Linked DNA regions of Oryctolagus cuniculus. The main gene of each other region encodes a partner of the protein of the gene in region 3 in a complex. Links are inferred from orthologs where the notes say so. Each region holds a gene or a part of one and is shown on either strand. Other genes may lie near its edges.

Region 1 (6,003 bases), on a different chromosome or scaffold from region 3:
AGATGCTCACCGCTGGTATACAAACATACAACTACTTTTTTTATAGGCTGACCTTGTATTTTGTAACTTTGCTAAACTCTTACTAGATCTAGGAATTTTTTGGCAAATTCCTTAAAACCTTTTATGCAGGCAATCATGTCACCTGAGAAGACACACAGTTTTATTTCTTCCATTCCAATCTATATATATGCAATTCCTTTCTCTTGCCTAATCAAACTGGCTAGAAGTTCCAGTATGAGGCTGAATAGGGGCAGTGAGACTGGACATCCTTTCTTGTTCCCAACTTCAGGGACAAAACATTCAAACTTTCATTATTACCTAAGATGTTAGCTGAGGGTCTTATGTACATGTCCTTTGTAAAGACCTCTTCTAATTCTAGCTTGCTAAGAGTTATTACAAAGGAACGTTGAATTTTCTCAAATGCTTTTTCCATCAATTGATATGATCAATATATTTGTCTTTCTTACTTCTGTTAATATGGTTGATTATAATTCTAGCATACTGAGGCATTCCTTTAATCCTAGGCTAAAAATGTATCACTGAACTTGATTTATTAACATTTTTGAGCATTTTTATGCCTAGTTTCATGAGAGATACCAGTTTAAATCTAGTCAGGTGTTTGCAATTCTGGCCTCATAAAATAAGTTGGGAAATGATTCTGCCACTTTAATTTTCTGGAAGAAATAGCAGAGAATTGGTGTTATTTTTTCTTTAAATGTTTTTTTGGTAGATCTTGGCAGTGCAATCACCTGGGACTACAGTTTTATATTTAAAAAATAGAGATGACTCTTCAGGTTGCTCATTACTTACTCATTAAGTTTTGGTAGTCTGTGGTTTTAGAAGAATTTATCTATTTCTTCTAACTTGCCAGCCAAATTCATGTTTATTAAGTTATTCATATCCCCTTATTTTCTTTTTTATTACTTGTGAGATCTGTAATGATATTCCCACAATTTGTGGTTTTTTTTTTTTTTTTTTTTTGGTTAGTCTGATTAGGGAGTTCTCAATTTTATTTATCTCTTCAAGGAACCAGCAGTTGGTGACACTACTTTTCTCTAATGTTTCCCTATTTTTAATTTCATTGATTTCTGCTCTTTATAATTGCCTTCTTTTAGTTTGCACATTTAAAGCTTTTAAGTGTTCTCTTAATATCCTTCACCTATTTCTTGTGATATGGACTATAGTTTCTATATTTAAAAATCATTCTCCTAAACAGACACAATCTCAATGGGTAGGTTGAATGATTTTCCATTTTTTGTCACTTGCTAAGAGTCTAGGGGGCTGGTGCTGTGGTGCAGATTAATCCTCCATCTATGCACCAGCATCCCATCTGGCACAGATTTGAGCCCTGGCTGCTCCTCTTCCAATCCAGCTCTCGGCTATGGCCTGGGAAACCAGTAGAGGAGGGCCCAAGTGCTTAGGCCCCAGCACCTGCGTGGGAGACCTGGAGGAAGCTCCTGGCTCCTGGCATCCAATCGGTCAAGCTCCAGCAGTGAACCAGTGGATGGAAGACCTTTCTCTTTGTCTCTCTCTCACTGTCTGTAACTACCTCTCAAATAAATAATAAAATAAAAACCTCTTAAAAAAAAATCTACCAGTTAGCCCAATGCATGACCCCTTTTTGGACTTTTCTTTTATAACCATATATAACTTAAATGCTTCTATTTGGTTTTCCTAGGATATTTCATGAGGCTGTCTAGCATCTGAAATTACTCTTCTTTAATTGTATCCTTTTTTTTAATGCGTAGCCTCTAAGAGCATTTCTCAGAGGATTTCCTATGTAGTGTGTGTGTGTCCTCTCTTTATTTATTTATTTATTTATTTATTTATTTATTTATTTTTGACAGAGTTATAGACAGTGAGAGACAGACAGAGAGAAAGGTCTTCCTTCTGTTGGTTCATTCCCCTAAAGGCCGCTACGGCCAGTGCTATACCTATCCGAAGCTAAGAGCTGGGTGCTTTCTCCTGGTCTCTCATGTGGGTGCAGGGCCCAAGCACTTGGGCCATCCTCCACTGCCCTCCCGGGCCACAGCAAAGAGCTGGACTGAAAGAGGAGCAACCAGGACTAGTACCCGGCGCCCCAACCGGGACTAGAACCCGGGGTGCCTGCACCGCAGGCAGAGGATTAACCAAGTGAGCCACAGCGCCAGCCTAATTGTGTCTTTTTCCTCTTTTGTGCTGATGTTTTTAACAGAATAATCAGAAAGCTTATGGTACTTTCTTCAGATGGATTGTTTAAGACATTACAATGTGCTATTAAAACTTACTGAATGTTAATGGTCTATGACTTACACTGGAGGATTATAAGGTTCTGAACAATGGTGCTCAATGAGAAATTTTCAAGGTGCTTTTGTTTGCCACAATTTTAAAGGGGCACCATGGTACAATAGAGGAAGAATCAGGGTATTTTATAATCTATTACTGTTAAAAAGGAGGTTAGAATTTTTATGAGATTAGAAATTATACAGTCCTTTTCAACTGAGATTCCTTATATGAACCAAACAGAAAATGATTTGAATGAATATTTTTCAATTTAATAGTCAGGATGGTGATATCTGGAACGATTCTAGATACATAAAAGAGAAGGTGATTCATTATATACATGTTTAGGATACTGGGAGCTTAGTTCTCTCAGAGAAATGTCTAGGTGAGAAAGGATGTAAGGAGAGATGAGTATGTAGGCAACAGAATAAGGAGAAATACAAATGAAATGAGAGAAGCAAAGGAGGATGACCTTAGCAATTTTGTCATCAGTAATTTTGAGCAAGGTAGATTTGGTGGTTATAAACCTAAGACTTGATATTTTTATAAGTCTCCCATGCCTCATAGCCATTTCCATTTTAATCTTTGGAGATGAATTCTTCTTGTTTGTATAAATTTAATCCTCTGCATCTGAGTAGTTTTCATAAATGAAGTATCAGTTACTTCAGCATTGTTATATATCCAAAGACAATTCTGTTTTCTTAATGGCCTCTAGTAAAAAGCTAGTAGGTTAATGTTTTTCTAACCTTTTAGGATCAGTTTTCTTTTTTCTTTTTTTTTTTTTTTATAATGATTAATTTATTTTTTGAGAGGCAGAGTGACACAGAGAGAAGGACAGAGAGAAAGAGATCTTCCACCTGCTGGTTCATTCTCCAGTTCATGTCCTGGTTGCTCTACTTTCGATTCAGTTCCCTGCTAAAATGCCTGGGAAAAGCAGCAGATGATAGCCTAAGTGTTTGGGCCCCTGCCACGCCAGAAGGAGACCTAGATGAAGCTCCCAACTCCTGGCTTCAGTCTGGCCCAGCGCTGGCTATTGTGGCTATCTGTGGAGTAAACCAGCAGATAGACGATCTCCCTCTCTGTAACTCTGCCTTTAAAAATAAATAAACAAATCCCTCAAAAAACTCCACTATCGCCTGGCGCCGTGGCTCACTAGGCTAATCCTCCGCCTGCGGCGCCGGCACACCGGGTTCTAGTCCTGGTCGGGGCGCTGGATTCTGTCCCAGTTGCCCCTCTTCCAGGCCAGCTCTCTGCTGTGGCCAAGGAGTGCAGTGGAGGATGGCCCAAGTGCGTGGGCCCTGCACCCCATGGGAGACCAGGATAAGTACCTGGCTCCTGCCATCGGATCAGCGTGGTGCGCCGGCCGCGGCAGCCATTGGAGGGTGAACCAACGGCAAAGGAAGACCTTTCTCTCTGTCTCTCTCTCTCAATGTCCACTCTGCCTGTCAAAAAAAAAAAAAAAAAAAAAAAAAAAAAAAAAAAAAAAAAAAAAAAAACACTCCACTACCCTCACAACTCCAGAAAATGTTTCTTTTTATATTCAACTTAAATAAATTTCTAATAACGTTTACTTATCTACAGAAGCTTTTCACAAATTAATTTCATAGAAATAGAATATTTTACACATTTTTAAGTGCATGACTTTTTCTAACAAGTAACTGTTATCTAAAACAATTATTCATTAATATGATTGAAATAAGATAAAAATATCACAAACTTTAACAGAACTCTTTTTTTCACATGTGTATAAGACTAGTAAACCAAACTCATAAAAACAGGTAAGGCTGTGATTCTTTAAAGCAATCAAATGGAAAATATGCCATTCACATTATTCACTTCACATGTTTTCCAAGGAAATCACTGTACCTTCTCATTTTTAACCAGCTGCTTGCGGATGGCAGAGTCTCGCCTGAAGCACAGAGCTTTACAGCACGGTCCGAGATTACTAAGGAGACTTGCTCTTTCTTCTTTTCGTAACAATGCAGCCATGTTGAGAGCCCCCAATTCATGTTCAAAGAGATTATCTGCATCTTTCAACAAACATAAGCACACATTAAGTTTTCCTAAAATAGAAGATGTTACCAATGATTCAAGTGAATACTGCATAAAGTCTACACTTTATCAAAGTTAGCAACAATGGTGAAAATTATTTCATATTAAAGGCAATATTTCCTCTGTGAAGGACCTTCACCATTCAGTTATATTATTAGTCTTAAACAAAATTAAGAATTGTGATAGTCATTTTAAATTTGTTTAAGATATAAGAAAAGTAGACTTGGGAAACAGGATTTAGGCATTGATTATGCACTATGACCAAGAAGTAAAGTTCAGGTTGAGAATCACTGAAGTCAGGGGCAGCGTGGCGTACCAGGTCAAGTCACTGCTTACATCGCCAGCATCAGATAGGTGTGCCAGTTTCAAGTCCTGCCTGCTCCACTTCCAATCTAGCTCCCTGCTAATGCACCTGGGAAAACAGCAGAAGATGGCCCAAGTGCTTGGGCCACTACTACCCATGTGGGAGACTTGAATGTAATTTCAGGCTCTTGGCTTTGACCTGGTCCAGCCTTAGCCATTGTGGCCGTTTGAGGAGTGAGCCAGCAGATGGAAGATCCCACTCATTTACCCCTGCTCCTCTCTCCATCTCTCTCTATAACTGCCTTCCAAATTAAAAAAAATCTTAAAAAAAAAAAACCTATCCAAAAAAATAAAAAGAGCATCAAATACTATTTTATTACATATATAATTACAGAAGAAATTTGCCTTGAACATAAGCTCTTCCATGAAAATTGCACTTTAGGACTAACTTTCTTTTTACGGAATCTTTTTTTCTTCTTCTGGTTTTAAAAGGATACAAAATACACACTTGCAAACCTCCTTAGAGAGTACAACATGGCTGAACTTCAAGTCTCTTCATGGTTTTAAATTGATCAGTACCAAAATTACTCCAAAGACAGACTAAATACATACTCAAGAACAAGTAAAATGAAGGAATAAAAAAACTAGAAAAGTTTAGCTCACTAGGACTTAACTATATTGTAATTAGAAAACCTAGAAAAAAATTTCAGTTTTAGTACACAGTTAAGTGTATTGTTTTAAGCCTTAGTTCTTGTTGTTGTGAATTATCCTTAAGAGGCGAGGTATACTCTCTTCACTGATGGAGGACTGGACTAAACCCAATGGAATAGAAAATTCATTATCAATTATTTCATAAATATTTAGTGAATGCCTACTATGTGTCAGGCACTGTTCTAGGCAAGGGCATAATTAGCAATAATAGATAATTAGACACTAGATACAGCAGTAAACAAAACCAAGCCCCATTCCATATGAAACATATTTAACATCATATTATCAATTCTCTACTTCAACTGATTCACTCCCGAGGACCAAGAACTTAATTCAGGTCTCACATGAGTAGGTGGTACAACCACTTGAGCTGTTAACTGTTGCCTCCCAAGTGCACATTGACATGAAGCTGGGGTCAGGAGCAGAACTGGGACTTGAACCCAGGTGCTCCAATATTGGCTGTGGGTCTCCCAAGTGGTCCCTTAACTGCTATGCAAATGCTCGGCTCAAAAAACTCAATTCTTTTAACGAAATTTTTTTATTGTCAGGGACATGACATAAAATTGTTAAATAATGTTGCTTTCACCTTTACTTTACTTTCCTTAATCTTTTATTTTTTTCCATTCTTATAAAACCTGATTTTTCAACTTTTATTTAATAAATATAAATTTCCGA
Region 2 (6,003 bases), on a different chromosome or scaffold from region 3:
TTTTTAATCGTACCTGAAAGTCCCAAAAAAGGTGTCCAGGAAACCTTCGCTGATTTCCAAACAGTTCACCCCCTTTACAGTCATACCGTTCCTCTTCATTATAATCAAATCCTTCTGAGAAAACAAAATGTTACTCATTAACTTCAAACCTCAAATTTCATTTGAGAAGTATACACACAGGACAAAGTAGGCCTATTCACTGGAAAGCCCACCTGATGACTTTCAAAGCTCCTCTAAGAACAAAATAATGAAGACTAGTTTAAAATATCAACTAGAAGTAAAACTGGTGATTACCTGACCAACTCTAATACTTCATAATTGAGACTATTACAGTATGGAGATCCACAATAATGTAACATATTAAGGTCAGCAGCAGGACCAGGAACAGATCTCAGATCTCTTGACACCTATTCAAGTGCTTCTATCAATTCAACAGACTATCTTTAGTCTAAAACCTCAAGATTACCATTATCATCATTTGTTGCACAAAATTTTAATGACATTGACCATCACTTATTCTAATCTATCTACAAATATGGTATGCTGCAAGAGACTGATTTTATTGTAAAAATAATGAAAACAAAGAATTCTGCGGATTTTCTTATTACTTAGTAAATTATACTTTCCCTTCACCTCTAATCTGAGCATGATTTTGGAACATCAACAAATTCATTCTTCACCCTTTCATTTTAAAACTTCTTCCTGGTTAATCCCCAATCAGCAGGAGCCATATGATATTTACAAGTATCCTGTCCTACACTGCATATATCAACATTAATAAACTTAAGACCAGTTGAAGATCAAGTTGGCTCAATTTCTCTGGTCTCATTAAAAAGTTGGTGGCAATTTTCTCATTTTACACAAAAGAACAGAAAACCGGTGAACAGTCTGATGAGAATTCTAGGTAGAATCCAATTACCTAAAGTAAAGCTGAGAAGACAAATATATCTCTCCAAGGTGCCAGGCTTGTCACGACTCTTTTGGCCCTAGAACTGGTAAACAGAGTAGCCAAAGCACACAGCTTCAACTTTACCCACATGGCTAACTTACAGTACCTGTGCAGGTAGATAGACACACACACACAGACAATAGTGATGCAAGAATTTTTTGAAGTTGATAAGAGATATTCCAATATACTGCTATTTAACTACTTCCAATATAGATGTACAGTTCAAAGTAAAGTTGATCTTATAAATTACACCTGAGTGTACCTACAGTCTTATATGGCCCATTCCTTATCAAAGGTGGTGTCATCCACAATTCAAAGTAAGAAAAATTGTCAATTCTTCAAATGCAGAAAATTATGGAGATCAACAGCCAAATAAATGAAGAGCACATTATAATTTTTCAGAGTAGTTCAACCTGTATTCTTCTCATTAAACTAAATATCCATAGAGATGTACTAACACCCAAAACTCCATATTTTGATCAATCCCTAGGGAAAAAAATAATTTTCTTTTACTCCAAACAGGTTAAGTCTAAAGTATTCAATGATTGTCTTCAGCCTCAAGTTGCTCTATTAAGAGAGAAAGGAGTAAGAGTAGTTCCCTCTAAAAAAAAGCCATGACCCTGAGAAGAGGAGGAAAACAACTTAGAGAAAAGAGGTAGCAGGGAGAATTTTTAGCTTTTCCTGCATTACAAGAATGTACTTGTACATCACTATAAGTTCATGAAAATACTTTGAAAGACCAGAAAACAGACTTTAATACTTTTAGAACTTTAATATACAATAATGGTGGGTTTTCTATGCAGCAAGGAAAAGATTATTCAATGATTGGGACAATGACAAGCTGTTTTGGAGGAAAAAACAGAAAGCCAGATCCCACTTTTGGCTTTTTTAAATAACCACATACGTATTCTTAAAAGATCCAAAGCAGAGGTCAGCAAATTCTTCTGTAAAAAGCCAGGCAATAAATCCTCTCAGCTCTGTGAGCCACATGGTCCATAACCACAAACACTCAGCTCTACCACTACTGTATGAGAGCAGCCACAGACAATACTGAAATGAATGGGCATGGCTGTTTTGCAATAAAACTTTATAAAAACAGGACCAGATTTGCCCCACAGGTCATAGTTTGTACTGACAGATGAGAGGAAAACCAGTTTATATGCACAGAATAGGGGAAGGCCTTTCTAAAACTGTCATAAATCCAGGAAGTCATAACAACAAACACTGGATATCTGACTGCATAGAATGTTTAACCTCTCTACAATAAAAAATTTATAGACAAAATTCAAAAGGCAAATGGGGAATATACACAATATATTAAAAAGGGTCAATTTCATTAATTTAAAAAGAACTCAAAAATCAAGAGAAACAGCCAAACAGAAAAATGGGGAAAGGATATGAACAGAAAGATCCTAAGCAAAAGACCAATATTATGAAAAGATACTCAACCTCAACCATGATTAGAGAATTGTAAATCAAAATCAAAATGTTTAAAGGTTAATAGTACCCAAAACTGGTGTGGAGAAGTATAAACAAATATACCTTTTTTGAAGAATAATTACAAAGTTTTTAAAAGTCTATGGTGTGGCCACTGTGATGCAGGAGGGGGTTAAACTGCTGCTTGTGTCACCCACACAGGTTTGTGTCTCTGGCTCCTCTGCTTCTGATATATCTTCCTGTTAATGCATCTGGGAAAATGGCAGATGATGCCCCAAGTACTTGGGTCTCTGCTACCACTTGGGAGACCCCAGATGGAGGTCCCAGCTTCTGGCCTGACCCAGCCCTAGCTACTGCACACTTCTGGGGAGTGAATAAGCAGATAGAATACATTTACCTCTCACTCCCACACTCTGCCTTTCAAATAAATAAATAAATGTCCAAATTTGTACAAAGTGCAAATTCTACACAAAGATATTTGCTCCAACGTTCTTAGAACTCCAGAAAAATTTTTAAATAAATTGTAGTTTAGCCATAATGAAGTACCTAAACCTATTCCTGCAAATGAAGTTATCTCTGTATATGCTAACACAAAATCTCAAATGCATACGGTTTTAAGAAGCAGTTATATACAAAACATTTTAAAGACAGTTATACAAAATAAATGTTTTTTTTAAAAAGGCATTTTTACACAAAAATTAATATTTCTGTATAAATAGTCTTTTTTAAATTATTTATCTATTTGAAAGGCAAAGTTATAGAGATTCCACCCATTGATTCACTTCCCAAATGGCCACATTAGGGAGCCTAGAACTCCACCCTGGTCTCCCACATGGGTACCAGGAGCCCAAGTACCTGGGCCATCTTCCGCTGTTTTCTCAGATGCCTCATCAGGGAGATGGATTGGAAGTGGAGCAGTGGGGACTTGCAATGCTAGAAGCTAAAAAAGTCTTAATAGGGATTATCTTTGAAGAAATGGATTGTGAGAAGAGAAAGACATTTACTTTTAGTGTCATGTTTTCTGCAATACTGTTTAGATTGGGGGGGGGGGGGACAATGTTACTGCCAACAACAAAAGAAAACAAATCAAAAGTATTTATACAGGGAGAAAAAAGCAAAACATGCCAAAACAGAAGTCAACAAAAAGGCTGAAGAAAGAGTACAGAAGGTAAAGTTTAAAAAAAGAAGTGGCGGCCGGCGCTGCGGCTCACTAGGCTAATCCTCCGCCTTGCGGCGCCGGCACACCGGGTTCTAGTCCCGGTAGGGGCGCCGGATTCTGTCCCGGTCGCCCCTCTTCCAGGCCAGCCCTCTGCTGTGGCCAGGGAGTGCAGTGGAGGATGGCCCAGGTGCTTGGGCCCTGCACCCCATGGGAGACCAGGAAAAGCACCTGGCTCCTGGCTCCTGCCATTGGATCAGCACGGTGCGCCGGCCGCCGGCCGCGGCGGCCATTGGAGGGTGAACCAACGGCAAAGGAAGACCTTTCTCTCTGTCTCTCTCTCTCTCACTGTCCATTCTGCCTGTCAAAAAAATTAAAAAAAAAATTAAAAAAAAAAAAAAAGAAGTGGCTATACTAAGTCAACAAAATCACAGGGACTCCTTTAGTGCAATCAGATAAACCAGAAGGGCTGTTAGACCTAGCAGTTTAAACAAATTACCTTCCTCACCAGGTGCAGCCTTTGCAGGCATCCTGTTTATAGTCCTTTGAGTTCGAGGTGCAGGTTTAGCTTTGTTGGCTTGTTTGGAAATGAGCTTTATAGGAATTCGTCTTCGAACATCAAGACCACCCAGCGATCCAGAACTATTAGTGCCTTGTAACTCATTGTCTGTTAAGGGAAAAAAAAGTCATAATTTCCTTTAGCTTTTTAGACTCTTCTGCCACAATACAACGTACCAAACACTATCAAGGCTTAGAGACCTGGGTTCTGATTTTACACATTGTATTAACCACTAATTTTCTCTATTTTGGATAAAGCTATGCTTTTTTTTTAACCCTTTTTGATATAGGGAGCCCCTGAAAATAAAAGTTACATAACCTGAACAATAAAATTTTCATTCTAGAGGAGTTCACAGAAACACAAACCCTCCATAAACCCAAGGAAAGAACCTCTGTCTTGAAGTAAAAAGATTTGAGAGGAGAAAAGTATCAAAACCACCTTGCTTCTCTGACTGATCTCAAGCATGCAAAGCAAGCACTCAAGAACTTTAGAAAACTAAAAGGGAAACACAAAACTAACAGCGACAAAAGCAAAAGTAAGTAATGAATCTAAAAATGGAAGCTAGTTTCAAGGAAGGTGATTATTTCCTGAAGTGTAGAAAGCATTCAAGAACACAGCAAAAATTCTTATAGCACTGAGTAACACAAACATGTTAAAATGTATTTGTGCTGTAACATTTCTAGGGATATATATGGGACTGAGTTACTCTTAGTATTGAATGGGAAATTATAATTTTAGGAGGGAGCAAGCTTTCTGGACTTCAACTAGGTCTAAACAAGTGACAGTTTTTTATTAAATGACTTGTCACTTCCTGAAGTCTCTGCTTGCGTTTTACCCATGAAATAAATTCCCATGTTCCTTGACCAATAGGAGCATCAGTCACGGAACCAACTCCATGGTAAGCATTAAGTGTTGCCTTTTTTCAGGTACATAAAAAGATACAATACAGGAAAGAAAAAAAAAAGTTGCTGTAGACAGATAACAGTTTAACACTGCCCATCAGATACTAAAAAGTTTCTTAATGGTTTTGCCTTTGTGAGTGATGAAAATACCAACACCTATTACTTTTACTTTTTCCCACCACCCTGAACACCAACGTTGCCTCCCACTTTCAAAAGCCTGCTGTCGCTTTTAACACTTTGCTGTTTGCCTCACACAGTACACGTTCATAAAGCATTTTGTAGTGAACAACAACACTCTTGGTTTAAGAATCAGAACATTCACACAACTTCCCTTTTGGAATACAGTAACAGAATATAGGAAGCCCATGACAACAGAAAGTCTGGGTAGTTCTCAGAAAGTGAAAACTAAGGATAATCGACCATTCAAGGTGAATCCATCTTAAACAGGAACACTACTTTTACATCATAAAAAGATTTAGGACTTTATCTTGAAGGAGCCATGAATATTTCAGAGTTTGTTACTTTTACAAAGTGCTAATTCAAGGAATGTAGTTCAAGGAATGAATCAATTGTTAACTAGGAATCTCTGGGAGTAATTTTTCCTGAAAAATTCCATTAGAACACTTTAACTTGACATTTGAGCTTTTCAGCATGATCATTAAATGGGCCATTTTCGTATAATATTCAAGGTGACATCTATTGTCCAGTGGACTTCTTAATCCTTTGATATTAAAACAATCCTTTTGAGATGCCTATGTCTTCAATTAACTGGCACTTCTTTTGCCAATAGCTTTCTTTTCTGATTCAAACGGTGATCAAATTCTTGTTTAGGGGCTTTATGAAGTTTCATCTTTTGCAAGGCTGGTAATTTTGTCTCAATCAACTTGATACTATCTTCTGACATGAAACATCAATGACATTTATTCATGAAGAAATATAAATAGTGTTAAGTAGAAGAGAGATCTGAATAGGAATTACTTTTTTAGTGGTCAGCTCTTCA
Region 3 (6,003 bases):
TAACTCTGACTTTCAAATGAATAAATAACTCTTAAAAAAAAAAAAAAAAAAAAAAGAAAAGAAAAGGAGGAACTCCCTTCGCTTCTCTGAGCAGTGTCAAGTAGAGAGGACACATACCTGTAGAACTAAGTGGTCGCAATGGCGGAAGCGGGCCCCTGTTAAAATTACTCTGGCCTCCTCGACTTTCATTGTAATTCCCTCGAGGAGTATTCTGAGCACTCCAACTGGAGCCTCTGGTGCCCTCCCGACGACTGTAGTTTCCTAAACACAAACAACAAGATCAAAATCTAATATTGCCAGAATTTTGTGTTAAGGAAGATTTGGCAGGTTTTTCTTAATCTTAAAAAAGTAACGGAAGAAAAACGAAAATCTTGTAAACTGAATATACTACTAAGAAGCAAAAATCACACAGCGGTTAACAGCAGAGGCTCTAAAGCAGACTGCCAGGTTCAAATATCGGTCCTGTCACTTCCAGTTTTGTGTCCTGGTCAGCTGAATCACAGTTTATCTTCAGTAAAGAAGGAGTACTAATGCGACCTACCTTGTGGGGTTAATGTGAGCGTACCATATCTGCATTACTTGTAACACTTCCCGACACACCTATGTAAGCGTTTGTTATTAATGCCAAATTCATATTCTCTTTCACTGTCACCTTTCGAGCTCATCAATCCACTAGTAAAAGCATAGTTTCTTTAACTATATCAAATAGTCTCAAAATCTTCAAACAACTTAAAACAGACTGAATATAACAGTAAGAAGCAAGGTGATAAAGGAATCAATTATGAACTACACAAATAATCTTAAGGAAATTGTTGAGAAGTACAAATGTGAAAATGGTATTTACATAAAAAATAATAAAATTCTCAATGTTAAAAGGAAAATAATTACCTGTGACATCTTTTAAATTCCCAGTAAAAGTATACCTTATCAGAAGTTAACCCAAAAAGTATGTGTGGTTTTTTTTTTCCTACCCACCAGAGTACTCTGCAAATAGTGCAAATACTTTATCTCAATCTCCTCAGTCACTTCACTCAATATTTTAATATGCTAGCCTATTAGAAATGCAGTTACCTTTTGAAGCAGGTGGTGTGAAAAATCGATTCTGACTGTGAAAAGCACCACGTCCTCCTCGATTGCCTGAAAACCCACCACGAGAAGAAATCTTCTGGGAAACTTTAAGTGGCCGTTTGGGTGGGGGTATTCCATCTTGAGGGACCACTTCTTTACTTTCAGCTGCGACAAAGTCATCCACGTGCATAGATGGTGGTCTGCTTGTGTTCTGTTTCCTCTGACGAAAAATATCATGGGGTCGTATACCCTGTCCAAATCCTCCCCTGCCCCTTCCTCTTGGTGGTGGCACAACATGAGCTCGTTTGGCAGGTTCTATGTATTCAGATTTTCCACTATTAAAACAAAAATACTCCATTAGAAAATTTCCGTTTCTTCATATTTCCAGTGAAAATACAATAAATAGTGAATCTGGATTTCAATTTTTTCTTATTCTAATTCCATTAATTTTGCAAGTATATATATTACTTCCCAGCATACTTCCCAGCATAATACAACACACTAGCTAAGAATGGTACTCATATTTTATTGATATCACTAAAAGTTTTACAATAATCCAGTTTACTTCTTATTCATACCTTTTAAGTGCTCACAAAGAACAATATTACTAATGTACTGGCTAAGTCCTGGCCAAATTATTATCTTTAAAACTAATACAAACAATATTAATGATTCAAATGTTATGCAAATGATTCCATCTTAAATACAATGAAATAAAGCTTTATGTGATCATAATCAAGACCTTCAGTGGAATAAATTTTTACCTTGAAGTTATAAAGGTCTCATGCTTGTGCTTCCCAAGTTTGAATCCTTTAGTAGTCTTGGTTCTCCCTGGAGATGACGGTTCTGACAAAAATGAGCGCTCTAATTCTGAGTGCAAATCAAAGTCACTACAGCATTTTTCAGAGAGCTCGATTAAGTCAACCTTTACCTGTAGTCATAAAAATGAAACAAAAGACATCTTAAATTAACTACCAGTGTAACATCTGATCATGGAAATTCATATTCTTGGGGCTGGCACTGAAGCTTAGTGGGTAACGCCGCCATCTGTGATCTGTGATGCTGACATCCCACATGGGTGCCAGTTCGAGTCCTGATTGCTCCACTTCGAATCTAGTTCCCTGCTAATGCACCTGGGAAAGCAGTGGAAGATGGCCCAGCACTTGGCCCTTGCACCCATATGGGAGACCTGGATGGACCCCTGGCTCCTGGCTTTGGTTTGGACCAGCCCTGGCCATTGCAGCCATCTGCATCTGCCTTTCCTTCTCTGTAACTCTGCCTTTCCAATAAATAAATAAATCTTAAAAAAAAATTAAAATAAATGCACCTTAAATGTGAAACAAATCATTCTATCAGTTTTATTGTACATGATGAACACTAACTTTTTTTAATTTTTTTTTAAGATTTATTTATCTGAGAGGCAGAGTTACAGACATAGAGAGACAGAGAGAGGTTTTCCACTCACTGGCTCACTTTCCAAATGGCCACAGCGACCGGAGCTGCGCCGATCTGAAGCCAGGAGCCAGGAGCTCCCTCTGGGTCTCCCACACGGGTGCAGAAGCCCAAGCACTTAGGCTTTGTTCCACTGCTTTCCTAGGCCATAGCAGAGAGCCTGATCAGAAGTGGAACAGCCAGGACTCGAATTGCCTTGGTTGTTCCATTTCTAACCCAGCTCCCTGTTAAGGTACTTGGGAAGGGCAGTGAAGAATACCCCAAGTGTTAGGGCCCCTACTATCAATGTGGGAAGACTCAGATGGAGCGTCAGGCTCCTGGCTTCAGCCTGAACCAGCCCCAGCAATTGTAGACAACTGGGGGGTCAACCAGTGGATGGAAGATCTTTTTCTCTCTGTAACTCTACCTTTAATAAAAATAAATAAATCTTTAAATATAAAATAAAATAAACACATACAAAATCACTAACTAAACAGAAGTATAACAAGTATAAAAAAGTGTTAGTTTTGGATGCTATTAAGTGGGAAACTGGCCTAAAAATAATGTAGTACTACTGGTCCCCAAGTGGACTTCAAATACTTACATATAGTACATAAACAATTATAATGCTAACAATATACAAACAAAAATATTAACAACTTTTTTAACTATTTAGTAATAAAATAATTTATACCAAGTCTAGATCTGTATCAATCTCTTCAGCCTGAAATGGAGTGAACCACATTGATTTCAACTGATCATCCATGACATCAGCTAGCACATATGCAGTCCTAGAACACAAAAAGCATTTGTAAAAAGCAAAATACCAAAATCAAACACTTTGGCTTACCTTCTAAGGAAAATCTATGGATGGTACAATTAAAAATATTATCCGCAGAAGTTTTACCAAAATTACCACTTGAAAAGACTTCTTCAAAAAGCCATTCAAGCGGGAGGGAGGGAGGCTGGGGGGGAGCCACAACAATACAAAAGTTGCACTTTGTAAATTCACATTTATTAAATAAAAAAAAAGAACTTATGGGGGGGGGAAGCCATTGTAATTCATAAACTGTACTTTGGAAATTTATATTTATTAAATAAAAGTTAAAAAAAAGCCATTCAAATAAAATATAAATATAAATAAATAAATATATATATGGAACTATTCAAGAACTAAGTACCTTCCAAAACCAATAACTGAGAAACTAGTCTTACTATAACAAACTTTGACCTTCAGCAACACTAATTTTAATTCCAAAAAGGCAAGCTTATTGCATTATACCAATTGTGCAGAATCTGCTCATACTTAATTTTTCTAAATTTAGAGAGTAATTCTATTACATCAAATGATCCTTATGAGTATAGAGCTCCACAGATTAAGAAGTATATTCTTTAGGCCAGGGATTAATAAACCATTGCCTATCCTGTCTGCCTATAAACTATGCAGAGTTTGTATGCTTTTAGGATTTTTCTTAAAAAAAAAAAAAGAAAAGAAAAGAAAGAATCTACAGAAGAATATGCAGCAAAGGACTGCATGGCCTATAAAGCCTAGAATTTGTATAAAAACTGATAGTTCTGGGCCGGTGCCGCGGCTCACTAGGCTAATCCTCCGCCTTGCGGCGCTGGCACACCGGGTTCTAGTCCCAGTCGGGGCACCGGATTCTGTCCCAGTTGCCCCTCTTCCAGGCCAGCTCTCTGCTGTGGCCCGGGAGTGCAGTGGAGGATGGCCCAAGTCCTTGGGCCCTGCACCCCATGGGAGACCAGGATAAGTACCTGGCTCCTGCCATCGGATCAGCACGGTGCGCTGGCCGCAGCGCGCCAGCCGCGGCGGCCATTGGAGGGTGAACCAACGGCAAAGGAAGACCTTTCTCTCTGTCTCTCTCTCTCTCACTGTCCACTCTGCCTGTCAAAAAAAAAAAAAAAAAAAAAAAAAAAACCATAAAAAAAAAAAAAAAGACTGATAGTTCTGGATGCTATTAAGTGGGCAGCTGACATAAGAATAATGCAGTACTACCGGTCCCCAAGTGGAATTCAACAGTCACATATAATATGTAAACTACTATGATGCTGCTAACAACACACAAGCAAAAAATATTAACAACTTTTTGGTAAATATTTTGTAATAAAATAATTTATACCAAATCTAGATCTGTATCAGTCTCTTCAGCCTGAAATGCAGTGAACCACACTGATTTCAACTTGCAAGACAGAAAGCTTGCTGACCCTCTATAAAATTCAACCATTATATAAACAGTATCTATTCAATCACAAAACCTTGCTTATCTTACCTATTGTTAAATAGATTCTGTAGAGATTCTGGAGCTGAAAGTACTGGTTCCACATCCTGGTCACTGAGAGGTAAAGGGTCACCTGATGACTGCAGCATCTGCTTAAGTCCCACTACATTGTCCAACAAAGAATCCAGATTGTCATCCTCTTTTGAATGTTCCTAGACACAAAAGAAAGCAGGATAAGAAGGTGCAGGTGAACCATGAACACTTGAGCTCTTAATCTACTCACTCTTTATCAGAAAAGGCAGTATTATTTCACTTCAAAGAGATTTGGAGCACCATTAAGAAATTATCGACTTAACATTAAATATAATAAATAAAACAAAACCAAAAGCACTTATCATTTTATTTCTAAACAATGGCAGTAGGGGGTACCCTGCATCCAAAGATAGACAATTCAGAAAGTAATGCCTTCATTTACTCCTTAAGATTCACAACAATACAGAGGGCTTCACTCCAAATTATTAATTCAAAGAATTAGTTCAAAACGGCATAGATACTCAACTAACAGTTCACTATTTGAAAAGGTCACTATGAAAAGTTGTACTAGTCAAACTGAGAGGAAAAAAATACGTCTCAGGAATGCTCTGTTTTTATTTTTGTTTTTCTTTTTTACCAAAACAAGCTTCTCTAGTTCAAGGAACAAATTTTCTGGACTTTCTTCTTTGCTTTGTAGAAGCTGTTTTAACTCTGCAGCATTAATACTCATCGTCCGTGATGGATGAGCTCCATCTACTTCCATGAGACCACTATCGTCTCCACAACATCCCTGTAAATGTCACACACAAGTTAAATTTGAGAGCAGAGAAATTTGCAAAGATGTTTCCTAACTTTTTCAGTTATTTAAGCCACTTGCTGCAAACTTCACCTCAACATTTTGGTTCTACACCAGCACAAATGGCTAGTTTTAAATTTAATTATTGCAAGAAGGATTTAGTCAGCTCAAAGCTGAAATAAGTTTTAAAGACTCACAAATTAGATAGGCAAACACACATATGCAATTTACTGGCACGAAAATTTCCAACAAAAATATCCAATGGCAAATACACTGGCACTGGTAACACACTGCTTGATACTTAAGGCAATAAAATGCCTGCTACTACTAAGAACTGACATAATACAAAACTATCTTTCTAGGAATGAAGTAAAGAAAACAGTAATTATTATATTCAAGACCGTCACACAAAAAAGTGACTATTTCCTGCTTTAAAAA
Region 4 (6,003 bases), on a different chromosome or scaffold from region 3:
TTTTCCTCCCATACTCTTCTTTAAGCCTTTGTTTCTACAACGACAGCTCTCCACCATGCCACACACATGGAACAGACATACACATATATGTAATCATCTCTCAGCTTATGGTTTCTCCTCTCTAAAACTGAAAAATGAAAGCTTAAAACGTGTCACTTCTCTGTTCAAAAATATTCTAATCCTTTTCATAAAGCCAAAAAATCTTTTATAATGAACTTTCCAATCACTTTTGTCATCAATGCTTTTCATCAACTATTTTTTAACTAACATCTTTTTTTTAAGCAAACAATAAACTACTACGATGACTACTTCCATACAAACCACTTTTGTGCTCACATTATTTTGTCAATCAGCCGAAAACCTCACCATGCAACATCCAATTCAAATATATTGCTTACATAAAATTACATCTCTTTCTTCAGAATTTCCATTAGACATTGTAGGTAAAAAGGTTTTTTTATTTGTAAGCTACATTGCTAATTGATTACATTATATCTGGAAGGAGAAGGGCTGAGAAATAACTACCAATGCCTATACTCTGGGAGTTCCTTTGGAGTGGTGATTCTTGTAACTAGCATGACCTTTAGGAAAATCCTGGAAATATGCTTTATGAGTGTTATAAGAGACATGAGATCCACTGGGACAGAACAAATAATCTTTTAGGAATCATGTTATTTATCTGTAAAATTAGGTTCATATCTCTGTACCATTATCTTGATTTTTTTAAATTATTTATTTGAAAGGCAAGGTTATAGAGAGAGAGAGAGAGATAAGAGAAAGAGAGAGAGAGAGGCAGGCTTCCCATCCGCTGGTTCACTCCCCAGATGTCTGAAACAGCCAGAGCTGTGCCAATCCGAAGCCAGGAGCCAGAACAGAAGCCAGGAGCTTCTTCCCAGTCTCCCACATGGGTACAGGGGCCCAAAGACTTGGGCCATCTTCTACTGCTTTCCCAGGCCATAGCAGAGAGCTGGATCAGAAGTGAAGCAGCTGGGACTTGAACTGGCGCTCATATGGGATGCCGGCACTGCAGGTGGTGGCTTTACCCACTACGCTACAGCGCCGGCCCCAATATTATTTCTTAAAATAAGACCTCCCATAAAATGCTCTAAAATGAAAAATATTTTTCTAAGCTCGTATTCTAAAATATTATATTTTATAAAATATCTTTTAAATATTTTATAAATACATAAAATTTTATAATATATTTTATTAAAAATTACAGATATAGAATATTATAAATATTCTAAAATATTATAGCCACTTTTGTAAAATATTTTTCCATTGTTTAAAAAATAACTTAGTACCTAAGAATGACTTAATAAGATTTATAATATCTGCAAGAATATCAGGAAAATCACACTGTGCCTTTTATGTGGCACCCAGGAGACACCAGAGAAGTAGAGAAGACACATTAGATCGAGAAGCACATTCCTCACCTATATTGTCTCACTGACTACAGAAACTATGAGATATTTTAGAAAGTTTATCTACACGCTTTACTTGAGAGGCAGAAAGAGCACATGCTAGATAGAGAGCTGTCATTTGCTGGTTTCCTTCCCAAATGTCCTCCCAAGCCTGTTGCTAAATTGGAAGTCAGGAACTCAATCCAGGTCTTCCACCTGCTTGAGCCATCATCTGCCTCCTCCCAGGGCGCACATTAGCAGGAAGCTAGAATTAGGAGCAGAGCAGGAACTCAAAGGCACCTATAAGGGATGTAGGCGTCACAACTGGCAGCTTTACCACTAGGCCAAATGCTCAACCCTGTTAGAGTTTTATTTGCTTCCTTTTAGTTTTTTGTTTCAGGATATCTATGGTAGTGCTGCAATACCACAAACAAGAGAACAGAAAACTTAAAAAGAACTAATACTGCCTCTCTCCTGCCACACTACCTCTTTGTGAATCTTTGCAAAGTAAACTCGTTATATAAGCCCAAGGGATTTCTTTCTCCCCAAAATTCTTCACTGTAACCTTGTGTTCTAAAGGTATTACCAAGCACTGAGCAAGCTTAAAACAGCCAGGCTTCAGGGTGTATTTGCCTCACTGACACCAAATGCTGGTGAGAATGTGGAACAAAATGGTGCAACTACTTTAGGAGATAGGATTTGGCAGTTTCTTTCAAAATTAAACATATTCTTACCATATAATCCAGCCATCATTCTCTTTGGTTTTTACCTAAAGGAGCTGAAAACTTACATCCACACCAAAACCTGTACACGGGCATTTATGGCAGTTTTATTCTTACTTGCTAAAACCTCAGAGCAACCGAGGTGTCCTTCAGTAAGTAAACGGATAAAGTGGGTACAACTAGACAGTAGGATACGATTCAAAAGTGAGCTCTCAAGCCATGGAAAGGCAGGGGAGAACCTTAAATGCCTATTACTAAATGAAAGAAGCTGATCTGAAAAGGTCACATACTATATAGACAATTTTAACAACACAGGAACAAGAACAAAAGACAGAATCACAATAAAAAGACTGCCAGGGATTTGAGGGGTGGGCAAATGGATAAGTGGAGCACACAGGATTTTTAGGGCAGTGAAACCATACTGTGTGATCCAACAATGGGGGATGCATGTCCTCACACATTTGTCTAATCCCCCAGAACACAGACTACCAAGAGTGAACCTTAATGTAAACTACAGACCAGGGTGATGACTCGTCAATGTAGACTTACCAGTTGTAACAAACGTATCACTGTGGTGGGGGTGGCAATGGTAACAGAGATGATGAGAGTCTAGGGCACAGAGTTTATGGGAAATCTCAGGAACTTCCTCTCAATTTTTGTATGAACCAAACATTATTCACATTTGAAGTCCAGCAAGAAGATGACTCAAATACATAAGAATTTTACTTTATACCACCCTGTGTCTGATTCCTTTATAACCATATCTCAAAGAATCAAAGTTGTTTTTGTTGTTGAAATTGAGGTCATACCTGGTCGAATTGTACTATCTCTTCCAAACAGATGAAGGCGTCTTCTACCAAGACAGAAATGCTCAATTATATGAAAAATTTCTACAGGTTTTTCTATATTGCCAATTTCAGGTTCTTCTGTGATAATTAAGTCAATGTCAACATTAGCGTGAATAAAGTCCCCATCTGTGCTACGCTTCACAGTTCCTTTGATCCCCATAAGACAGTGTTCCTAAATAAGAAGAACAGACCAATTAATTTTTTTTCTTATCAATAATCTTACCTCATAACATTTTATTTATACTTCTGATTTCCTCAGTTCCAAAACAATCCTTATTTCTACAAATCTTTGGGATATAGTTCTGTGGGCAAAAAGAGGACAGACTTTAGAAACATCTGGATGGTTGTAGAAAGACTGTCAGGCAAACAGGAAAAGCAGTTTTTCACTCTACATTTAGTACTTTCAGAAGACAGCTCTTTGACACCAGATGTGTGGGTTTTCACGCACCAAGTAACTACACTTCTCCTCAGACACTATAATTCAGTTCAATTCTGACACAATCTATACCTAGTGTGTACCTCACAGGTTAAGGACTTAGTCCCACAAGACTGACCCCCAACTTCAGATACCAATCACGACTTGTCAGTGTGCTTTTATAACTGAGAGGCTACAGATTGGAGTGTCTAAAGACCCCCTCCTCGGGTTCAATCACTTGCTGGAGTGGCTTGTGAAATTCAGTAAGTGCTTTAATTACTATTACCTGTTTATTGTATAAGGATGTAACTCAGGAACAGCCAGATGGAAGAGATGCTTAGGGCAATGTACAGGAGAAGGGATGTGGAGCTTCCAGGCCCTCTCTCTGGGTGCACCATGTTCCCCCAGCAACTCTATAGGTTCACCAACCCAGAAGCTCTCCAAACCCTGTTCTTTTGGAAACTTTGTTACATAGCTATAATTCCAACCCCAAGTAAGAACAAGTAAGAAATCCCACCACTGGCTCCCTAAAGAGTAAAGAGCAAAGGCGGTTAAAGACTGATACTAGCAAAGCAGAATCAACATGAAGCAGAAGTTCTCAGAAGTTCTTCAGTAGGAAAAAGAACAGAAGAAGAAACAAGTGTAAACTGGCCAGCTATGAACTTTTGCTGATATCTCTTCTTTCTGAACCTAGCAAAACAAAAAAAAATTCAGGGTATGAGGAGCATTAAAAGCCCGCATGTAATGCATAAATACAGCAGTGTAAGACATACAGGAACATATATATTTCCCTCTCCAGCATGGTGGTGGAGACTGATCTAAGATAGTGAATAAAACATTTTAAACCAACTTGGATATATTCTTATACTGCTCAAGGCTACTTTTACAAGCCGAAGAAAATGACTTTTTTTCCAGCAAAAGTAACTGAACAGTATACAGAAATTTGGAAAAGTATGAAAGAAAATAATGAGAAAAACAAAACAAAACAGAAAAGGCAATACCTTTGTTCTCTGAAAAACAGCCTTTGGGTCTAAAGTCTTTGTCTTGCCAGGATTGTTTTTATTGGTTTTAATCCAACAAATATCTTCACATCTTCTGTAACCCCACTTGCGTAAACACTAAAAATAAAAAATAAACGAAAAGAAATGCTTCATTTAATCCATACTTCAAATAACCAACCAGCATTAAACAATTTTCTTGAGACACTAAATTCCCAAGTGTCAAAATGGTTTTTGTTTTGTTCTAGTGGAGAACTATAAGAAATGCTAGTCTCCAAATAGCCTGAAGCAGACACTGGTGTGCAGCAGGTTAAGCTACCACTTTGTACAATTTTATCCCTTGTTGGAGTACACAGGTTTGAGTCCCAACTCTGCTTCGGATTCAGCATCCTGCTAACACATCTGGTAGCTGGCAAATTATGACCTAAATGTTTGTATTCCTGACACCCTACTTGGTAGTCCCAGATAGGGTTCTTGGTTTTTTTGGCTTCAGACTGACCCAGACCTGGTTTTCCAGGCATTTGGGTAGTGAACCAGAGAACAGAAGATCCCTTTCTCTTATCTCCCCCTGTCACTCTGCCTTCCAAATAAAAAAAATTAAATAAATAATCTTTAAAAAATAAATATGTATACAGCCATAATATAGAATATATTCATGTGAGTACTTGAAAATGTCTGTGGAAAATTAGAATTAAATGATCAGTTTATTTTGGTGCAAAAACATTTTAAAATCCTTGCAGGTTTTTTTTTTTTTTTTTTTTTTTGACAGACAAGTGGACAGTGAGAGACAGAGAGAAAGGTCTTCCTCTGCCGTTGGTTCACCCTCCAATGGCCGGCGCGCTGCGGCCAACGCACCGCGCTGATCCGAAAGCAGGAGCCAGGTGCTTCTCCTGGTCTCCCATGCGGGTGCAGGACCCAAGCACTTGGGCCATCCTCCACTGCACTCCCAGGCCACAGCAGACAGCTGGCCTGGAAGAGGGGCAACCGGGACAGAATCCGGCACCCCGACCGGGACTAGAACCTGGTTTGCCAGTGCCGCAGGCAGAGGATTAGCCTATTGAGCCGCGGCGCCGGCCTCTTGCATAGTCCAGCTGGACTGGAAGAGGGGCAACTGGGACTAAAACCCAGGGTGTGGGCACCACAGGCAGAGGATTAGCCTATTGAGCCGCGGTGCCAGCCTAACAGATACTAGGTTTTAAATTATAAAACACTGAGGTCCTCTGTAATCACAAAATAATGCAAGAGAGAATTTGTTTCCTGCCACTTCAATTTCTTATTTTGAAAAAACTAAACACTGTTTTGAAAATTCCCGATAACTTCTTTCCAAATGAGAAGTCTATAAAACTTTGTTTCTATATTTAGAATTCACAAAAACAAAAAGCTCACACTTAAAATGGTTATCTACATCTCTTTATTGGGTAAAACTATACTTGAATCTTTATATAATTTTGAAAACAGAGAATCTGTTATCTATGAAGTTATAACAAATACCAGATAAACCATAGACAGAGTGCCATTTTGAGGACCTACTATGTATATATAGATGCTAGCTAGCCGCTGGGGGAAAAAAACAGATATAGTCCCTACCTAAGAGTAAAGTAGTAAACCTAAGAGTTA

Evidence for each region. Proteins that work in one complex are often made in the same cells at the same time.
Region 1: the proteins of VIRMA (region 3) and ZC3H13 are in contact, whole or in part, in a cryo-EM structure (PDB 7VF2), measured with the Homo sapiens proteins. The link is inferred for Oryctolagus cuniculus from reciprocal best matches to the Homo sapiens genes VIRMA and ZC3H13. Residues at the interface, in NP_056311.2 of Homo sapiens: Leu521, Ser529, Tyr531, Gln532, Leu535, Glu536, Ile538, Leu539, Leu540, Asp541, Val544, Val547, Thr548, Ser551, Leu554, Gln555, His558, Glu561, Val562, Ser564, Glu565, Lys567, Gly570, Asp571, Ala574, Glu575, Thr577, Ser578, Glu621, Glu625; in NP_001317494.1 of Homo sapiens: Pro1492, Leu1493, Asp1494, Val1495, Ile1496, Asp1497, Val1498, Asp1499, Trp1500, Ser1501, Gly1502, His1507, Leu1518, Lys1520, Phe1521, Pro1523, Val1526, Met1527, Arg1529, Val1530, Gly1531, Ile1532, Ser1533, Lys1535, Leu1536, Ala1537, Gly1538, Leu1541, Lys1544, Val1545.
Region 2: VIRMA (region 3) and CBLL1 share a complex: the UniProt entries of both Homo sapiens proteins name them as parts of the WMM complex. The link is inferred for Oryctolagus cuniculus from reciprocal best matches to the Homo sapiens genes VIRMA and CBLL1.
Region 4: VIRMA (region 3) and METTL14 share a complex: the UniProt entries of both Homo sapiens proteins name them as parts of the WMM complex. The link is inferred for Oryctolagus cuniculus from reciprocal best matches to the Homo sapiens genes VIRMA and METTL14.

The regions. Positions count from the first base shown.
Region 1 is NC_091440.1:65,027,412-65,033,414, forward strand, and holds part of ZC3H13 (zinc finger CCCH domain-containing protein 13), read right to left. Parts: intron 4,293-6,003; coding exon 4,129-4,292; intron 1-4,128. UniProt on the Homo sapiens protein: Associated component of the WMM complex, a complex that mediates N6-methyladenosine (m6A) methylation of RNAs, a modification that plays a role in the efficiency of mRNA splicing and RNA processing.
Region 2 is NC_091434.1:136,461,023-136,467,025, forward strand, and holds part of CBLL1 (E3 ubiquitin-protein ligase Hakai), read right to left. Parts: intron 4,210-6,003; coding exon 4,042-4,209; intron 115-4,041; coding exon 14-114; intron 1-13. UniProt on the Homo sapiens protein: E3 ubiquitin-protein ligase that mediates ubiquitination of several tyrosine-phosphorylated Src substrates, including CDH1, CTTN and DOK1. Targets CDH1 for endocytosis and degradation.
Region 3 is NC_091437.1:119,893,703-119,899,705, forward strand, and holds part of VIRMA (protein virilizer homolog), read right to left. Parts: intron 5,560-6,003; coding exon 5,407-5,559; intron 4,949-5,406; coding exon 4,788-4,948; intron 3,291-4,787; coding exon 3,194-3,290; intron 2,000-3,193; coding exon 1,833-1,999; intron 1,404-1,832; coding exon 1,072-1,403; intron 262-1,071; coding exon 118-261; intron 1-117. UniProt on the Homo sapiens protein: Associated component of the WMM complex, a complex that mediates N6-methyladenosine (m6A) methylation of RNAs, a modification that plays a role in the efficiency of mRNA splicing and RNA processing.
Region 4 is NC_091439.1:46,488,257-46,494,259, forward strand, and holds part of METTL14 (N6-adenosine-methyltransferase non-catalytic subunit), read right to left. Parts: intron 4,507-6,003; coding exon 4,390-4,506; intron 3,146-4,389; coding exon 2,935-3,145; intron 1-2,934. UniProt on the Homo sapiens protein: The METTL3-METTL14 heterodimer forms a N6-methyltransferase complex that methylates adenosine residues at the N(6) position of some mRNAs and regulates the circadian clock, differentiation of embryonic stem cells and cortical neurogenesis.